2 linked regions of the Neurospora crassa OR74A genome follow. The protein of the gene in region 2 interacts with the protein of the main gene of each other region in a biochemical or structural test. Links are inferred from orthologs where the notes say so. Each region holds a gene or a part of one and is shown on either strand. Other genes may lie near its edges.

The links. The genes of interacting proteins can lie anywhere in the genome.
Region 1: the proteins of NCU06593 (region 2) and krev-1 form a complex in vitro, tested with the Saccharomyces cerevisiae proteins (2 studies listed by BioGRID). The link is inferred for Neurospora crassa OR74A from reciprocal best matches to the Saccharomyces cerevisiae genes BEM1 and RSR1.

What each region holds. Positions count from the first base shown.
Region 1 is NC_026501.1:1,020,606-1,028,560, forward strand, and holds krev-1 (krev-1), read right to left. Parts: upstream 4,373-7,955; 5' UTR 3,096-4,372; coding exon 3,067-3,095; intron 2,889-3,066; coding exon 2,857-2,888; intron 2,685-2,856; coding exon 2,658-2,684; intron 2,543-2,657; coding exon 2,463-2,542; intron 2,394-2,462; coding exon 2,371-2,393; intron 2,291-2,370; coding exon 2,262-2,290; intron 2,186-2,261; coding exon 1,928-2,185; intron 1,868-1,927; coding exon 1,668-1,867; 3' UTR 1,590-1,667; downstream 1-1,589. Other genes in the region: NCU02168 (PQ loop repeat protein), read left to right, coding at 1-624. UniProt on the Saccharomyces cerevisiae protein: Ras-related protein which binds GDP/GTP and possesses intrinsic GTPase activity. Involved in development of cell polarity during the cell division cycle, and essential for bud emergence.
Region 2 is NC_026504.1:1,740,602-1,748,671, forward strand, and holds NCU06593 (MAP kinase activator), read right to left. Parts: upstream 4,690-8,070; 5' UTR 3,457-4,689; coding exon 3,451-3,456; intron 3,065-3,450; coding exon 2,969-3,064; intron 2,911-2,968; coding exon 2,170-2,910; intron 2,112-2,169; coding exon 1,236-2,111; 3' UTR 231-1,235; downstream 1-230. Other genes in the region: NCU06594 (GANP domain-containing protein), read right to left, coding at 7,915-8,070.

The sequences.
Region 1 (7,955 bases), on a different chromosome or scaffold from region 2:
GTTATCGGCATCATAGCCGCCATCCTCCTCGCCGCCGGCCTCCTGCCTCCCTACGGAGAAATGTACAAGCGGCACGGTCGAGTCGTCGGCATCAACTGGATCTTTCTGTCGATGGACTGGTCAGGAGCCTTCTTCTCCCTCATGGCCGTAGTGACGCAAAATACGTTTGACGTCCTGGGTGGTGTGCTCTACATCATTTGCGCCTTCCTCGAGCTAGGCATCTTTGCGTCGCACTTGATTTGGCTGGTGAGGACGAGAAGCATAAGGAAGCAACTCAAAAAGGACGGCAAGACTTTTGACGATTTGTTGGGCGAGTATGAGAAGCGGGGAGAGAGTTGGAAGTGGGCAGAGAGGGATTTGGATTTGGGGAGGTTGAAGTTTTGGGCGAGGAAGGACAAGAAGAGGGAAGAGGAGGAGGGTGAAGTGGAGATTGAGCAAAGGGACTTGGAAAAGCAGGATGTCAGTAATTCTGCTGCTGATGCTGTGGAACAGCAACGTGATGGGGCTTTGGACAGTAAGATGGCGATGGCTGAGGCACAAAATCAAAACGGGAACGCGGAGGATACAGATGCAAGTACGCCTACCATGGTGGATGGGGAGAACAGGGCGGTAGACAGGGCCTGAAGGGGACGGCGTGATGGATGGATGCCTGATGAGGATATACAGAAACGAAGCTGGATGTTGAGGAACAACAAAAGAGAACTGGAATAGTTGGTTTTGGTTTCGGGTTTGGATATGATACCATGGCTGGAACTTCGCTACGGGATACGAAGGCTGTGCGAGTGAACGCATGATAGCCAGGGACACATCAGCTGGTTGAACATGAAAAATGAAAGTAGGAACGAGGATATATGAGGAATGGAAGCCGCTGACGGCTAGCAGATAGTAATAGAATCCAAGTAGCTAATTGTTTTCATTGTTCTACCAACAGCCGTGTTCGAATGTATCCCGTCTGGGGATTTATTCTTCCATATTTTTTAACAAGTAAATAAGCACATGAAAGACATCGATCAGATGTGAGGGTATCGTAACCAGGGAATGCAGGAGGTGAACACCAATTTGCCCTCCCTAATGATGGCGGAACAAGAAAATACAAGGAAAGAAACGAAGGCGGCTCAAAACGTCAGACAACCTCCAATGCAAATGTCAAAAAGAAGGAAAAAGGAAATAACCGTGACCTGAACGATGAAAGCAAACAATGAAAACGGCTCGGGTTGATAGATGCGACCAGTTACCCTCGGCAGCTTCCAGGTTCAGTTGGAAAATGGAGGCGGGGATTCGAGCTGATAAGATCTCGAGATCTGAAAAAAGTCAAGAGCCGGTCCTTTAGGCCGTCCTGATATCCTCGGCACCTTCCGCTCCTGCCTTGACTGTTCTTATCGAGCCTTCCCAAAACGTCTTCAAATCAAAATATCCTTAAGTTCTTTCCGTCCAACTCGTCCGTAACCCGAATTTCCCCTCATCCCGCCGGGCCGCAGTTGGAGCTTCTCTCTTTCCCCACACTAATTTTGAGTCGGAGGCCTCGAAACCTGGATTCAAGACAAGCCAAAAAAAAAAAAAAAAAAAAAAAAAAAAAAAAAAAAAAAAAGAGTTCCTCAATCCCGAGACCATCATCTTATTAACGCTGTGAGGCACTAAGGTGTTATGTAAAAGGCGTTCAGTTTGCTTCACATGATTATGCACTTGTGATCGCCCTTCCTCTTTCTCCTCCGCTTCTTCTTCATGGGCCCATGACCATCCTCCTGTTTCCCTTGGCCGTAGCCGTACCCGCTACCATTGCGTGCGCCATCGTCGTCATCTAGTTGGCCGCTATCGTCTCTTCGGAGCATTTGGCGGCAGAGGTCGATGAAGACTTCGTCAACGTTTGCTTTTTGGAAGTGTCAGTACCTAATCTTTCTCTTTTTGAATAGGGACATGAACAACATACTCCTCGTCCTAGCACTAGCCTCATAATAAGGCGCATTCCACTGCTGAGAAATGGTAAAGGCCTTTGCGCGATCGACGGCTCGTTGGTCTAGCAGGTCGGCCTTGTTGCCCACCATGACGATGGGGATGTTCTCGTCATCTTTGATGCGTATGATCTCTTCCCGAAGCGTGGCGAGCTCGTCTAGCGAGGCTTGCGAGGTTATACTGAAGACTAACAGGAATCCTTGGCCGGCCTTCATGTACAGGTCTCGCATAGCAACTTTTGCCCAAAGTGTTAGCGAGGCAAGTTTCAAGTTGGAGGGTGTTAGTTGACCCAGGGCGGTTCTGTTACTCACCGAACTGTTCTGTACCGGCCGTGTCGAGGCTGATGAGCTACATGTTAGCATTACCCGGTCAAAAAGTGAAGTGTCAGTGAGGGTGAAGTGTAAATGAGGAAGGTCTCACATTTCCAGTATCACTTGTCGTCCCTGGAGGTCCTCGTTAGCAAGTCTGGAACATAAACATTCAATTAATAGAATAGAAAAGTTAAGACTTACATCGACAGCCACCTGTGTCCTATACGAGTCCTCAATGGTTGGATCATAGCTTTCAATCCATTCATTGTGTACAAATTGTGCTGTTGTTCACAACATGTTCAGTATAGTGTTCCGTTGTCTTGTCCACACAGGTGACAGGGGTCATCATGCAGGTGTGGTTGAATCGGGTTTAGACTTTGGGGGCACACAACATACCAGTTAAGCAACTCTTGCCGACACCTCCTTAAGTAAGCCATCAAAGTCAGCAGTTGTAGCATGTGATGCGCATGTCTTGGCATAGGGGGTTTGTGTGTGTTTTTTTTTGTGTGATTTTCTTGATTTTTTGATTTTTTTTTTCCACGATGGGGTTCACAGCGAAAAGTCAGGTGAAAGAGCAGGGTGGAGCACAACATACCGGTACCTAGGACAACGATGTGGAATTCGCGGCTATAGGACGAATCAGCATCAGAGCAAAGAGGTTAGGGAGTGACAGGACGTCTGATGAGCACTGCTGTGGCCCCATTGATGTGTAAGGTAGGCTGTGCTCTAGAATAGAAATACGAGGGGGCGTCTGAAGATGGAGGCCCATCAAACACTGATGTAATATAAGAGAGTGGGTGCTCACCAAGGCTGGAATCCGTAAGTGCGCATCATGGTCAACGGGAGGAGTCCACCTCAGACAGCTGGCCAGGGCTTATACGAACTGAAGGGCAGAGTAAAAGCCAATACACGCGTCCTGGCCCGTCACACTCTGCCCGTTTCGAAGATGCGAATGCGTTTGCGTGTGCGGTAGATATCGGGGTGGTTGTCGTCGTCGCTTTTGGGATGGGCGACTTTGATCTGATATGCTGCCCCCTTTTGCTGCGCGCCGTGTTATTTTTTTGCTTCAGTGTTTGGGATCGGCTCGCCGGAATCTCCAACTTTTGCAGATCAGACGAAAAAGAGGTCAAAGCCTAGCCAGCTCGCTCCAAATAGCTCTAGCTATTCGCGGGGCGCTATATTGGCGGATGCGACGATATGCCCGCTCGGCCGTCACACCATGCAGCAGTCCACCGGGAACAATCCGGACCGTAAACCGAGAAGGATGGGGGCCACCTTTACGTGAAGGTAAATTTCTCCCAGCAAGCGATTTTGAAAGCGAAAGAAGGATGAGTCTCGAGTCCGTTCTCGCCTTCTGGGAAAGGGTATCGGTATCGGTAGGTACGTAGCAACGACCTGAGGGGAATCGCTCCGAGTCGGGATTCTGGACCGCTTTAGAAAATTTTGGGCCTCCCAATTTCGCAGGGCTCTTTTTTCACTTCGACTGAATTGGCGGCTGGCCCCCTCTACACAAGGTTGTTCTCGCGCGTCGTTAACGTGACTGTGACTTCTCGGTTCCGTCCCAACAATCCACCCACATGAACTGTTTAAAACTGAGCAGAGCACAACACGAAGCAACAAGCGCCTCCGGGAGTTTGGGGGGTAAAGTATACAGCCTGTGAAGTACCTATCTCTTTCGAGGAGGGGTTGGGGGCCAAAGCGCCGGGGAAGGGCGGGAATGGATGGGCTGGAAGGGCGTGCTGAACCGTTGCTTTCCAGCTGGGCGCAAGCAAATAATTAAGCATCGATGGTTCCAACAGAAAGGCGAGAAGCCTAAACGGGTCAGAAGGGTCGTGAGGGTCTCGTCCGCCGCTTGTGGTGCCGTGGTGGTGCCCAAAGTGGTACCCGGTGGAGTCTAGTCCGGGATGGCTTCAGAAGCCAAAAAGGCCTAGATGAGTTCAAGCCCACCGGCTGATGAGGAACCAGCGCCCCGGTTACAGGGCCGAGCCTCGCGTGCGCGTTGCTGGGTCCCAGATGTCCCGATCAAACCAGCTAGGGTTGATGTCGAGGATCCCGGCCACTGCCTTTGTGAAGGATATCACGAGACGTTGCGTTGATAAGACGGGGGTGTTTAGTGACTCCAATATGCCATATGCGAGCTCAGCGTGTTTGTATAGAGTCCAGACCTGAGATGGAATGGGTTTGATATCTCAAAAATAAAAGAGAACACGAAAGGCAAAAGAAAGTCCGGGGCGACCAGATTACCCATCGTGTCCATCATAACTCCTCTTTATCCACCTCCATCATCGGCACTTGTACTTCCGCAAAGCCGCCGAGTGTCTGTCTGCCTCCAGTCATGATATGCTGTTCAGTAACCGCCGGGGACCTGCCGGAGCAATGGCCACTATGGTCAACTCGACGGTGGCGTCCAGCCCAACTCTGGGGATACACGACAGCCACGCCAACAAAAGAACCGTGAAGCGGAACCAAACGGACAGACGAGACATTGTCTGGATAGGCGCCCATGCAGTTAAGGTGACGGAGTGGTGACTGCTGTCCGGATGACGGATACATACTTGGTCGACGGTCCGTACCGTGGACATGGCCAAGCGACATATCTTGCTGCAAGAGACGGCGGGCGCATGACAGCCCGTCCATGTCTCGGACGGAAATACTGTGTCGTTTCGTTGCTTTCCCATTTCTTTGGCTGGCCATGAAGCCATCAACTGTCTTCGCGATTGACAATCCGAATTTATGGCTCCCGTCCAGGTGGAGGCTTTGCTCCAATTGGCCTGAAATGGTTACATATCAGTTGGGACTTTAGTTGCGCATCAGCTCCCTACCTCCACTCGCTGTAAGTGCCTGTCAATGCTGCAGCATGGTGTTTATTGCCCCTCGATTGATACCTATTCAACTTCGTTGCAAACCATTGAATGGCACATGATAAAGCAAATTGCTAGGTGTTGATGCCCATCTATTGCTCGTCAGGTACACACACACACAAGTTCGCGGGGTTGGTGGATATCTGGACCCGAAAGAGGAAGGGCTAACCATGTCCTGCCGAAACCCAAGTGTACAGCGGCGAGAGCTTTCTTCCCTCTCCAGTTGTGCTCACCTGGCCGGTCCCGCACCTGGAGCATATACCTAGTAGGTTATGCAAGAGAGTGAGGGGCTCGCCGGCCGCTTCAACTTCCCTTAACTTAACTCCAAACACCCACCGTTCGACCATCCTCAACGGCCAAGCGGCCTCACCTGCGACCTTTCATTATGCAGTGACCCATGCTCTATATGTCATTCAGTCGAACCAGGGTATTTAGGCGAGAAGTCAGGGTTTCCAATGGCCGACATTGAAGTCCAGACCACCGTTCGCCAATCGCTGTTTTCTTTTTCTCCCAAATTGCTAACTTTACGTCTTCTGTTTCTGCCACCTTCAACCAAATAATCATCAGACGCTCTCGCCTCTTTTGTTGTCTCATGCAAAGGAAAAAAATAGGATCCCTTGGCGATCAATAAACCCCTCTCTGACTGGACGGGATACCCTGGAAGCAAAGATCCGGCATAACTCACGATCCACGAATACCGAGCATGTTCGCCATGTCAATATCCCGATGTCGGTCGGACTGCGACGTCTATCGGACTCTCTCTCTTCAGCCATTTCACTTGTGTACTTTCTACGAAGCTCTCACACATCAGCTACGACCTGGCACAGCACAGGTTAATAGGTTACGTCGCAGCTCGTATCTTGCTCCTTTGCCCTTCCTTCGTGCTCCGATGGACAACAACCTTCCGACGCCATCTCTCAACGTGTCACACCTCCAGTTCTACCAACTAGCCAATCAACCTATACCACCGTTTATCGGCGATTCTCCTTTTATAAAGGCTTCACCATCCGATGTTGTATACATACAAACACGCCAGCGGCGGCGGCGGCGGGCAACTTTTTGTCGACGAACATCGGGTGTTGTCATCTCATGGCCCGTGCGTCAACATCTCTCGGTCTCAGTTCCAGGACCAATATTATCTTGCAGACCAGACAGCCCGAGGCTACTCGAGTGACAGCACTGTGAACAAAGCTAAGAGTTTGTAAGATCTACAAGGTCCACCATCAAGCCTTCTTGCTGTTGTCAGGAGAAAAGCATCCATATGAAAATAAAAAAAAAAAAAAAAAAAAGGTATTGGGTTCTCCTGACATTGACCTTGACTTTGCCATCCAAGACGGAAGCCAGGCATTGGAGCCGTTGGCCGGGCTTGGGATAGGGTATTACTCCTGGAGATGATTCCCCGAATGACGAACCACTTGTACCTGCCAGCTTACGGTACCGAATCGGAATGCAACCTATCTCTGAATGGTGGTGTCAAAGCTGCCAGGTACGAGGCAAATAGATGCATATCATACCAAAGCGATTGCTATTCCTGGCATACATTTACGCAGTAGTGTACAGCCGGCATTGGGTTAAACAGGTTGACATGTTGGAGTGACATTGAGAAGTTACCGCTTTGGACTAGTTGATGATATTATCAGCGCAAAGAGCATCAGCTTGGTCTCTCCTGGGGGTTTGGCATGGATATGCTGGACCACAAGGAGGGCGGCCGTCCACAAGCCATTTGCCGTTCAGGTGGCTGTAGGCTCCAACAACTGAAGCAAGCCGGCCAGAGTTACTTAGCAACAACAACCGGTGTTGCGTTGCGCAACCCCTAGAGAACATCACTCCCAAAGCACAAGCTGATACCCTCCCTAGTTGCTGACCTGGGGCTCCCTACGTCAACGGCTTCCAGTATTGCGTTACTACGGGATCATGAATCTCACGATCACTCTCTTCCCCGTACACCCGCCCGCTGCAGTGGTACTCGATTCAGGTCAATAAATGGTGTATCAACTCACCAACGTTAGTAAAAGTTGGGAAACCGGTCGAAAACCAATATGCCACAGCCTTCACTTCGCTGAAAAGCTGTGCTCAACCGAGTAGGTCTGTTCAACGATACCCTGCTAAACTTCCTGTGTCTGGATGATATGCCCAAGTCTCAATGAAGCTCGGTATGACGGAGCACTGCAGCCGACTAGCGAATGCTGTGGTCGTCGTGGGCAATTTATCTCGGGGACTGGATGAAAGGTAAACTGAAGTGAGAGTAAGCTTGCGGCTGGAGCTGAGACTCACGGTTGGACAGCCTTGAACCACTTGAAAATAAGTCTCTATTCGTCAATCCCAGGACTGTGAGCGTTTTCCAAAAACGGAAATATCAATGCTCAACAACTCTGGTGACGAGTAAACATAACCTTCGGTGGAAGTCATTTGCTCTTGCTTACGTTTCTGAGGCTGAAAGGAACAGCTGGATGTCGCGCAGAAACAACGATGCACAGGAGTTTGAGCCTCCTCCAAACGCGATACCCGGCTCGAGGCAAGGCACGTGTAGGAAAGAAAATGACATTCAATTCAAATCAACTCAGGCGCGGAGATTACCAGGCTTTTTTTTTTTTGCCCCTGAACCTGTTACTTGACACATTCAAGTTAACCTTTGCTTGTGGAAGTGACTTGAACGGTCACAAAACTTTGACATGATCGAGCAAAAGTTTGACGGAGTGAACAGGTAGATACCTAGATGTATAGCAAACGCCAAGAGCACCCAACAATAGCAACGGCTTCTCGTTGGGGAATCCGATAGTCGATGCGATTTTCTTTTTGTCTGAACACCTACTAACCTTTCAACCTATTTACT
Region 2 (8,070 bases):
ATTGGTAGTGTGAAACGGCATCGACTTCGTTACTTCCAACTTTGTAAATATGTAACGAACTTTGACTGATTGTTGTGGAAGTGTCATTGTTACCATTGCTTCCTTTACCAGAACAAGAATGCGATGTATGTTTTCGATGGGCTTGGCATTTGCCGTAATTGTGCATTTATTCAACTTCCAATGACATTGTATAGCAGATGTCACATGCAATTATCGGAAGTCGCGATATCTTCAAATGTAGATTTATGCTACTTACTGGCTGCGAGTAGACCACCACTACTCTCTTTTCTCCGGTCATCTTTCGCTCCCAATTTTTTTATTACCAAAAACACCTTGACTGCACATGGATATCTTCAAATCTCACCTACACTGCAGAAACGATACCCCGTGTCCCCCGCCATCTCGGTCAACATCCTGAAACACAAAAAGCCTGTGGGTGTAAATTCATTTCATTCATCATCCATTCACAAGGGCCCCTTCTTCTTCTTCTTGTCCCTTGTCATCACCCTCAGCACCACCATTACCACCTCCACCACCTCTTCTTATGGTAATCCACCACCCATCTTCGACCTCGAGTAGCAACGTAGTTTGGTATCAAATTTAATCCTTCCACCCTCCCCCACGCCTAACCAAGAATCCATCTCCCAACTTGGCCCCACCGCAGCCTTCCAGCAAGCGCGCAGATCCTCCCCTGACTCTACTTCCTTCCTTTTTTTCACCATGGTCACAGACTCCTTTGGCCTGACTCCTGAGCTGTTCCAAAAAAATATCACCGTATCCCAAAGTCCCTGCCGCATCCAAAATGCCCCATGACCATCTGCGTCCCAGAAATTTTAGTGAGTGGAGAGAGACGAGCCGATCAATTCGAAATGTATTACAACGACTGAACCGCGAAGTCCTATATGATTTACGTATGCGTTTGGGTATATAGCGTGGGGTATAGATATCGCATTGTGTGTTGGATAAAGAGCAGTTTGTTGGCAGCCGTCAACGAGAAAAGATGGTATGTAACTGAGTGCGCAAATGAGCAATTCCCTCCACGTTGTTCGCCTTGCTTGTGTATGTAGCCATCTGGCGTGACTTTTGAAGGCCGAGCGCTTAGTTTACCCAGTTGCTGCCTTCGAATCAAATGTTCGTGAAACATGGCGCATGTGACCATGGTATCCGAATGCGCTGTGTATCGGAATATGGCCAACAAACGTGTATGGGTTGGGGTTTCAAAGTCCGTCAGTCCATTATTCCACGTAAACGAGCAGCTTTTCGTTCCGTTGCAGTGCAATATCCAGATCTTCGTCGTTCATCAGAGGAGGCTTCTCGCCACTCGCGTCGTCCTTGTAACTTAGCTGAACGTCCTCGCCCTGAGGAATCTTGAGACGATCCAGAATCTTGTCATGGAGAGCTTGGAATGGAATATCAGTGGGTACGCGGATGGCGATGATGTCGCCGTTGAAGTGCAGTTTCACTTTCATCTGTGAACCACCCTGCATAATAGCAGGTGACAATGAGGTCTGTGAAGCCTGCCCAGGTCCCGGAATCTGTTGGCCGTTGCCAATGCTCAGCTGCCTCTGAGGAACACCGAGACCGGCAGAATATCTGTTGCCGGCTGTGCTCTGTAGTGAGAGGCCGTCGGCTGGTGAGTCAGAGGACGGACCAGAGCCTCCAGAGAATCGGTATTCCTCGCGAGCAACGCTAGGGTCGATTTCGTAATCACCCTCTCTAGGAGAAAAGAACTGCTTGACCAGGTTACAGCGGGAGATGTGTGGCGGTTGTTCCAGTAGACTTTTAACGTAAGAGTCAAGGTTGTGGCGGCGGCCTTCCGTAATCGCATCAGTCACGTAATTAACAGGACCGGGCATGTAGGGTAGCGTCCGCTGCTTGCCGCCTGTAGTTCCAGCTTCAAGAGGGAACTCGGTTAGGAGCGCGATTTGGAAGTCGTAGAAATCCTCGTAGTATCGCGAAAGTTCGAAGCATCGACCATCCTCCAGTTCGGCTTCAATAACAAACCAGTACTTGTCCTCGGCAAAGCAGTACCTCGGAACCCTGGCTGCGATGGGTGCGTATAGTGTCGAGGTTGGCCTCGAATAGGATTGTCCTTGAGCCTGTATCTGTTGCTGCAAAGACCTGTTAGTACAAACACGCACGCAAAGTAAGTGGACAGAATACACGTACCTGGGTATGAGTAGTCTGCTGGCTCAACCGGGCGCTTCCTTGCAAAGTTAAGCGGTTCATGGCCTGGTCAAGTGGTGGTTGGCCACCACCGCCACCACCAACATCGAACTTGCCGAGCGTTATGCTCGAGTTCTTATATTCCGCAGCCATCTTCTTCCACTCCTCGACCTTTGGAATCCCAGCTTTTCGTATGGCATCATGGGGGTTCGGGACAGGGGTGTTACTCGCCATGTCCCGGATCTCAACAAAGGATACGGGAATCAGACCCGGGCCGCCAAGTCTTCCGATGGGCTTAGCCACGAACCATTCGGGGTTCGACTGGGCAATGACAATGATGGCCTCGCCCTGCTTGGCTTCCAATTCGTCTGCCCGTTCGGCTTGGAAATCGTACAAAACGACACCATAAACCATGGCTCCATTCTTGCCAGGCGTTTTCGACATCCGATTCGCGGCGTTTGCTCCAGGAGGCGAGGCCGCCGAGCCTTCGCCGTATCCAGAATCACTATCTACGGTCTTCAAACCCAGTGAACCGGTTTGAGACTGGCCGCTATCGCGTTCCGTACGTCCAAGGGCCTGGAAATAAGCGACGGGCACGAGACCACGAGCGTCTGGTAGCGCAGGGTTGCACGCCTCATACCACTCTGGGTCATTTTCACGACCGATGACATGGAAGAAATCGCCGCGTGAAAAGCTAAGCTCCTGTGCATTTTGTGCTTCGTAATCGTAGAGAGCTTTTATAACCTGTGATAACAAGTTTAGCCTAAGCGCCTTGTGGCTGACACCTTGTTACGAGACATACCTTCTTTGGAGGGACGATGGCGACGGCAGATTTCGGTTGAATAGTAATATGAGGTTTGGAGTCCTTCTCTCCACCCTTGATGGACCTTCGTAGAGCCTTAAAACCGCGTGACATTGTTAGTTGCCAGAACGACGAAACCGCAGTATTGAAATGAGTAGTCCGACGAGGCCAAGAAAATTCGAGAGGTGCTGTGGGTGTAGATGGAGCAGACACTAAGAAAAAGGATTCTTCCGGTTCACGCAAGCTGTATTGCATCGTGACGAATTGGCCAAGGCAAGAACGCCTATGTGATGGTGTATGAATACCTGAGCCGTAGCCCGATCCTATCTCTCATGTCCCCAATAGCAGTGAAGCCTCTGCTATACAATCACGAGGGCTGTTTCCTGGGGAACGAGCAAAAACGATCGGACTGAAGAGGAGGAGGGACGGGGAAGGGAAGAGAGAGGGGATGGCAGAGCACAGAACAGCGGGGAATGACGTACCTTCATCTTGTCCGACAGCGATACTCAGACGACTTGTAAGCTATGTGTACACAAACCAAAACCGGAACTATTGTGCTATACACAGAGAGAAACAGGAACGGCTGACGGGGTGAGAGGCGTCAGCAAACAACTTTTGGAGCGGGCGTCCTGGTGTCGGCGTGCGCGGGCAATCGTGGTTGGGGTTACGCCGACTCAAATGACGGACGGCGAGAGGGCTTGCCTAGGATCCCTCTGGGGTTGGTCCTGGGCGGTTCTGCTCGTGTGTGTGGTGTGTGTGTGTGTGTGTCGTGGAGGGTGTTGCTAGGTGGAATCTGTGTAACGATCCAAATGTGCCGTATGTATCGGTCGGATGGGAGCCGGGAAAGCAGCGCGGCGATGACGGGAGTGGATATCGCGGACGGGGTCGTTATCTGCTGCACTAGTGTTTGCGACCGTGCGAACGTAAGGGAGACGTAATTTGGAAAGCAGCGGTTGTCCAGCTAATTTCGGCGACCGTTTCGTGTAAAATGGTCGCGCCCCAATACTTCTGTTCCCCAAGTGGATAGCTGACCCCAAGTTCGCTGTCTGGCCGAGTTTGCCTCAATCTTGGCTTTCCGTCTTTGTCTGAGCCTGATCAGGGCCGCCTGGCGTGTGGGCGTGTGGTGTTGATGCAATTCTCTTGTTCCTTTGTTCAGCCGCAATGCCGACTGCCTAGACCCAATGCTCAATGCGCAAGTCCCAGTCCGGCGAGCGCTTCTAGAATGTCTAAGTAGTGGTGGACAATCCGCCGGGAGTTGCGTTGGGTGTTGCGACGAGTGTTGTCGGCGATGATGGACTTGACTGTCGCAGTAGGAAGGTTGGTTGTCGAGAGTTGGAACTGGTGATGAGTGAACGAAGCGAGCGAACGGGCAGGTGGGAATGGAAACTGGAAACTGCACGGTGGCGGGGAAGGATCAGGATCAGGTGGGATATATGGCCTGCGTGCCTTGCGTGCTAGTCCTCGGGACGGGCAGCAATAGCATTAAAAAAATAATAAAAAGGGAGATAGCAACAGCCCAAAGCCAAGCTTGCAACGGAAGCAGCAAGGGTGATCACCAAGGGTCGGGTCCAGGTGTGTTCTCGCAGAGTGGAAGCCGACAGGGTGTGGAGGTGGTGGCCGGAGATGGCTCGAAGACGGGCGGGTAGGTGTGATGAAGGTCACAAGCAAGTCACCAGCCTAGCCGAGACGGACGGCATGGAACATGTTGGAAAAACAGCCACTCAGGCTTGCTTATTCGCCTAGTGTCTGTTAGTGTCTGCTAGTTTATGTCCGTGTCCTGACCGTGAAAGGGTGGCTGCCTCTATCTAGCCGTTAGCATCCGCATGACAATCGGCATGACAATGGACGGCCAAGGACCTCGACTTAAGAGGGGAATTGTAGCGTTGCAGCAGCGCAGAGGCCGCGCGGGCAGGTACCTGAAGGCACCCCGGCCTGGTTGATTGGCGCAGTTGCTGCCCTGCATGTTGGTGCAATTGGAGAGCGCCGCCAGGGTTCTCACGTCCAGAGGGACCCACCCTCCCTGGACCTGGCTGTGGTGGATTCGAATTGGCTTTCGTTCTTAGGTACCTCCACTGTTTCTTGGCCGCTCTCGATCTTTGGGATTCCGGACGTGCCCACCGCGATACGACCAGGAACTTTGCGACAAACGAATGAAAGAAGTCGGCCAACGTCAAATCTCAACTGAAACCAACCAGCTTGCTAGTCTTACACGATCTGATCAAAGATGAGCCGCGCGCAATGAGGCCATTGAAAAGCTAAGATTGCTGCTCCCTCAGGTATTCTCCGTTGGTATCTTTGTCGCTGTCATTGCCTGGCCTAAGATATGTGTGCGTGCTAGTGTGCATGATATTGTACATATCTTTGAAGCCACTGCATATGCATCGTGATCGCGCTTGTCATAGCGGAAACTGTGGTTGGTTTGCTGAGTCGAGTCGACAACCAGGGTGTTATGGACACGGTACCTGAGGATTTTTTCTCACTTCTCCAACCTCAACTGAAGGATTGATTGCTTCATTCTCGAGTCTGTTCCGTCACTACCCATCCAAGTGACTTGAAAGGCGTCGTCGTCGACAACAAGTCGATGCTGTGAGGCAGGAATATGCCTGCTGTTAGTGCATCAACTCATACGATGCGTCATGAGATGTTCAAAGCCCACACCTTGTCAATGCATTGACATCGGGCTCCATCATAACGTCGGTGGACTTGAAAGCCGAAGGGGACTCGATAGAATGCAAGGCCTCCAAGACGGTTCACAAGCAACCCCTAGTAGGAAAAAGCCTAGTACTAGCATCACTGGATTGACGCTGACATATGTCCTTCTGATGGCGACTTAGCTCGGGATTTTCAGATCTACCTATGTTTGGCAGATTCATTCTACACAGTCCGAATCTCCTTCATTGGTGCAGCAAAAAGCATCGCGATCAAATTTTAGGTAGATATCGGTTCTCGGTCTCGGGGTATTTCGGATGAAGCTCCGCGGCCTGTGCCTGACTAATCAGAACAACCCAACCCAACAGCGAACAAGGAGCATTGGCGTCTAGACTCGATAGAGACAGCACTGTAACGGCCTGGTAGGGCTCTGCCGCAAAGCTCCCGATTTTGGAATCTGGGCATTAACCGATCCAGTTTTTTCTTTCTTTTCTTATTCTTTTGCTTAACAAATCTCACTTTTTGTCATTTCGGGGTTTCTGTTCGGCCTTTGTATCATGTTCATCTCATTCTGGCCACAACAATAATATGCGAGCTCCTAGAGGGAATCATAAACACGAGAATAGTGCAAGTGGACGGACGTCCTTCGAATACTCAACATCTTCACCCTCTCTATTGGACATGAACAACGCCCAAGAAAAGCCGCCAATTGCCATGTTTTCCATGGCAATGGTTTCAACCCTCTTTCCATTTATCGATGCACGACTTCTACGTACATGCACGAGGTTTGACCAATCGGGATGTGACGCGAGGAGCACACGACGGGCCGGGATGCCCGCTGGCGCACCTGTAAGCAATGAGGCAGCGTGGTATTTTTCCTTTTTCCACATGGTATGGTGTCTATCTTTCGCCTCACCAGCCACCGCTTCAATTCGACCCAAGGTTAAGTTAGCAACTGCATCAAGAAGCAAACGCGTAGCATGGAGGTTCGTCACATCTGCTTGCAATGCGGGCAGAAGTCGAAGGACCCGACCCTTTTCCACCATTGATTATGATGCGCGGCCGATTGTGTTGGCCTCCGGCTCCCCGTACTCTGACTCAAAAGACAACAAGGATGGCATCGATATCGACGGCGCACAATATGACTGTGTTGTGTGCTGGAGCTCACTAAGTACGTTCTTATTTTGCTAACTGTAAGACATGCCCACTCAACCTCCCTGCTCTTAGCATTGTTCCCTTAACGCCAAACACCTGAGTTACCTGTACTAGCATGAAGAAGGAACAAAGAAAAAAAGACAAGGGACAAATGCAAGCAGTTTTGACACCCCGAGACGCCAAAACCCTATGCTCGCTGACCCAAACCACCACCCAAAGATGCCGACACCGGAACGCAAGGGATACTGAAAAATTGTTGAATAAGAGAGCGGTGCCTGTAAGGACGCATAGAAGGAGAGCAGGGTGCCACTACAGCACCATAGCAACTAATGCTGCTGCTTCCACGTCGCCAAAGGTCACCTCCGCATGACCCTAATGCTTGCTAAAACAAGAGACCCCGTGAGCCGACACGTCGAGATCCTCCGGCAAGACACATTGATCGGGAAAGAAGGGGGTCGATGTGCGAAGACGCCATCTATCATCCTGTCCACCGAGAATGGGTTCCGAAAACGGTGGATATTACGTCTCCATTTTTGAGTAGAGTAGGCAGATTCGAATACTGCACGCCTCAACCACGTTTGAGGTCAATTAGGTTGACCTGATGCTGGCAAATGACATTGAAGAACAGGATCTGCGCCTGTCCTGAAGGAACTAGCTGAAAAGGTAAGTCGGACTGCGTTGCAAGTGGCAACCTGGCGGATCGTGAGGTCGTGAGACGACTCGGGGGAAGAAGTGGTTTTCGTCAGTGTAAGAGCTCCACAAGGCATGACGTGGGCTTCCTCTAACGCATTCCACGTTACTATTCAGGGAGTAACATCGGAATTGACAACGAAGAAACGGAGATAGAAAACCCGTCGGTATTCTCTATCGCCGAAATCCCCCATGAGGTGTTGGCGATAGAAGCCCAGGTCGCAAATGTCGTGGGGTAGGACAGCGACATAGGTCGACGAAGGGCGTGCTATCAATAATATCAAACTACTGCATGACGACGCAAGGGTGCAGATCCCGGTGACCGAGGTGAGAAACTACGAAGGCGGAGATGAAGTAGAAACGTGAGGTCGACAGCCGGTGCTCATGTCTTGAAAGAGTTGGGAACGATGTGGGCGGGTGCGGCGACGATAGGAAATAAGGACTCAGTGCTGTTAGATTTGACCTTTAATGTCAACCCTGGAAAATGCTGCCTTCCTCGGACCCTCGAACAGCTCTTTAGCTTTTCCGGTCAGGAACATAACAGTTCCCTCGCGATCCTCCAATAGATCCTGGCCCTGGTAGTCGAGGATAAATTGGGCAGCATCCGC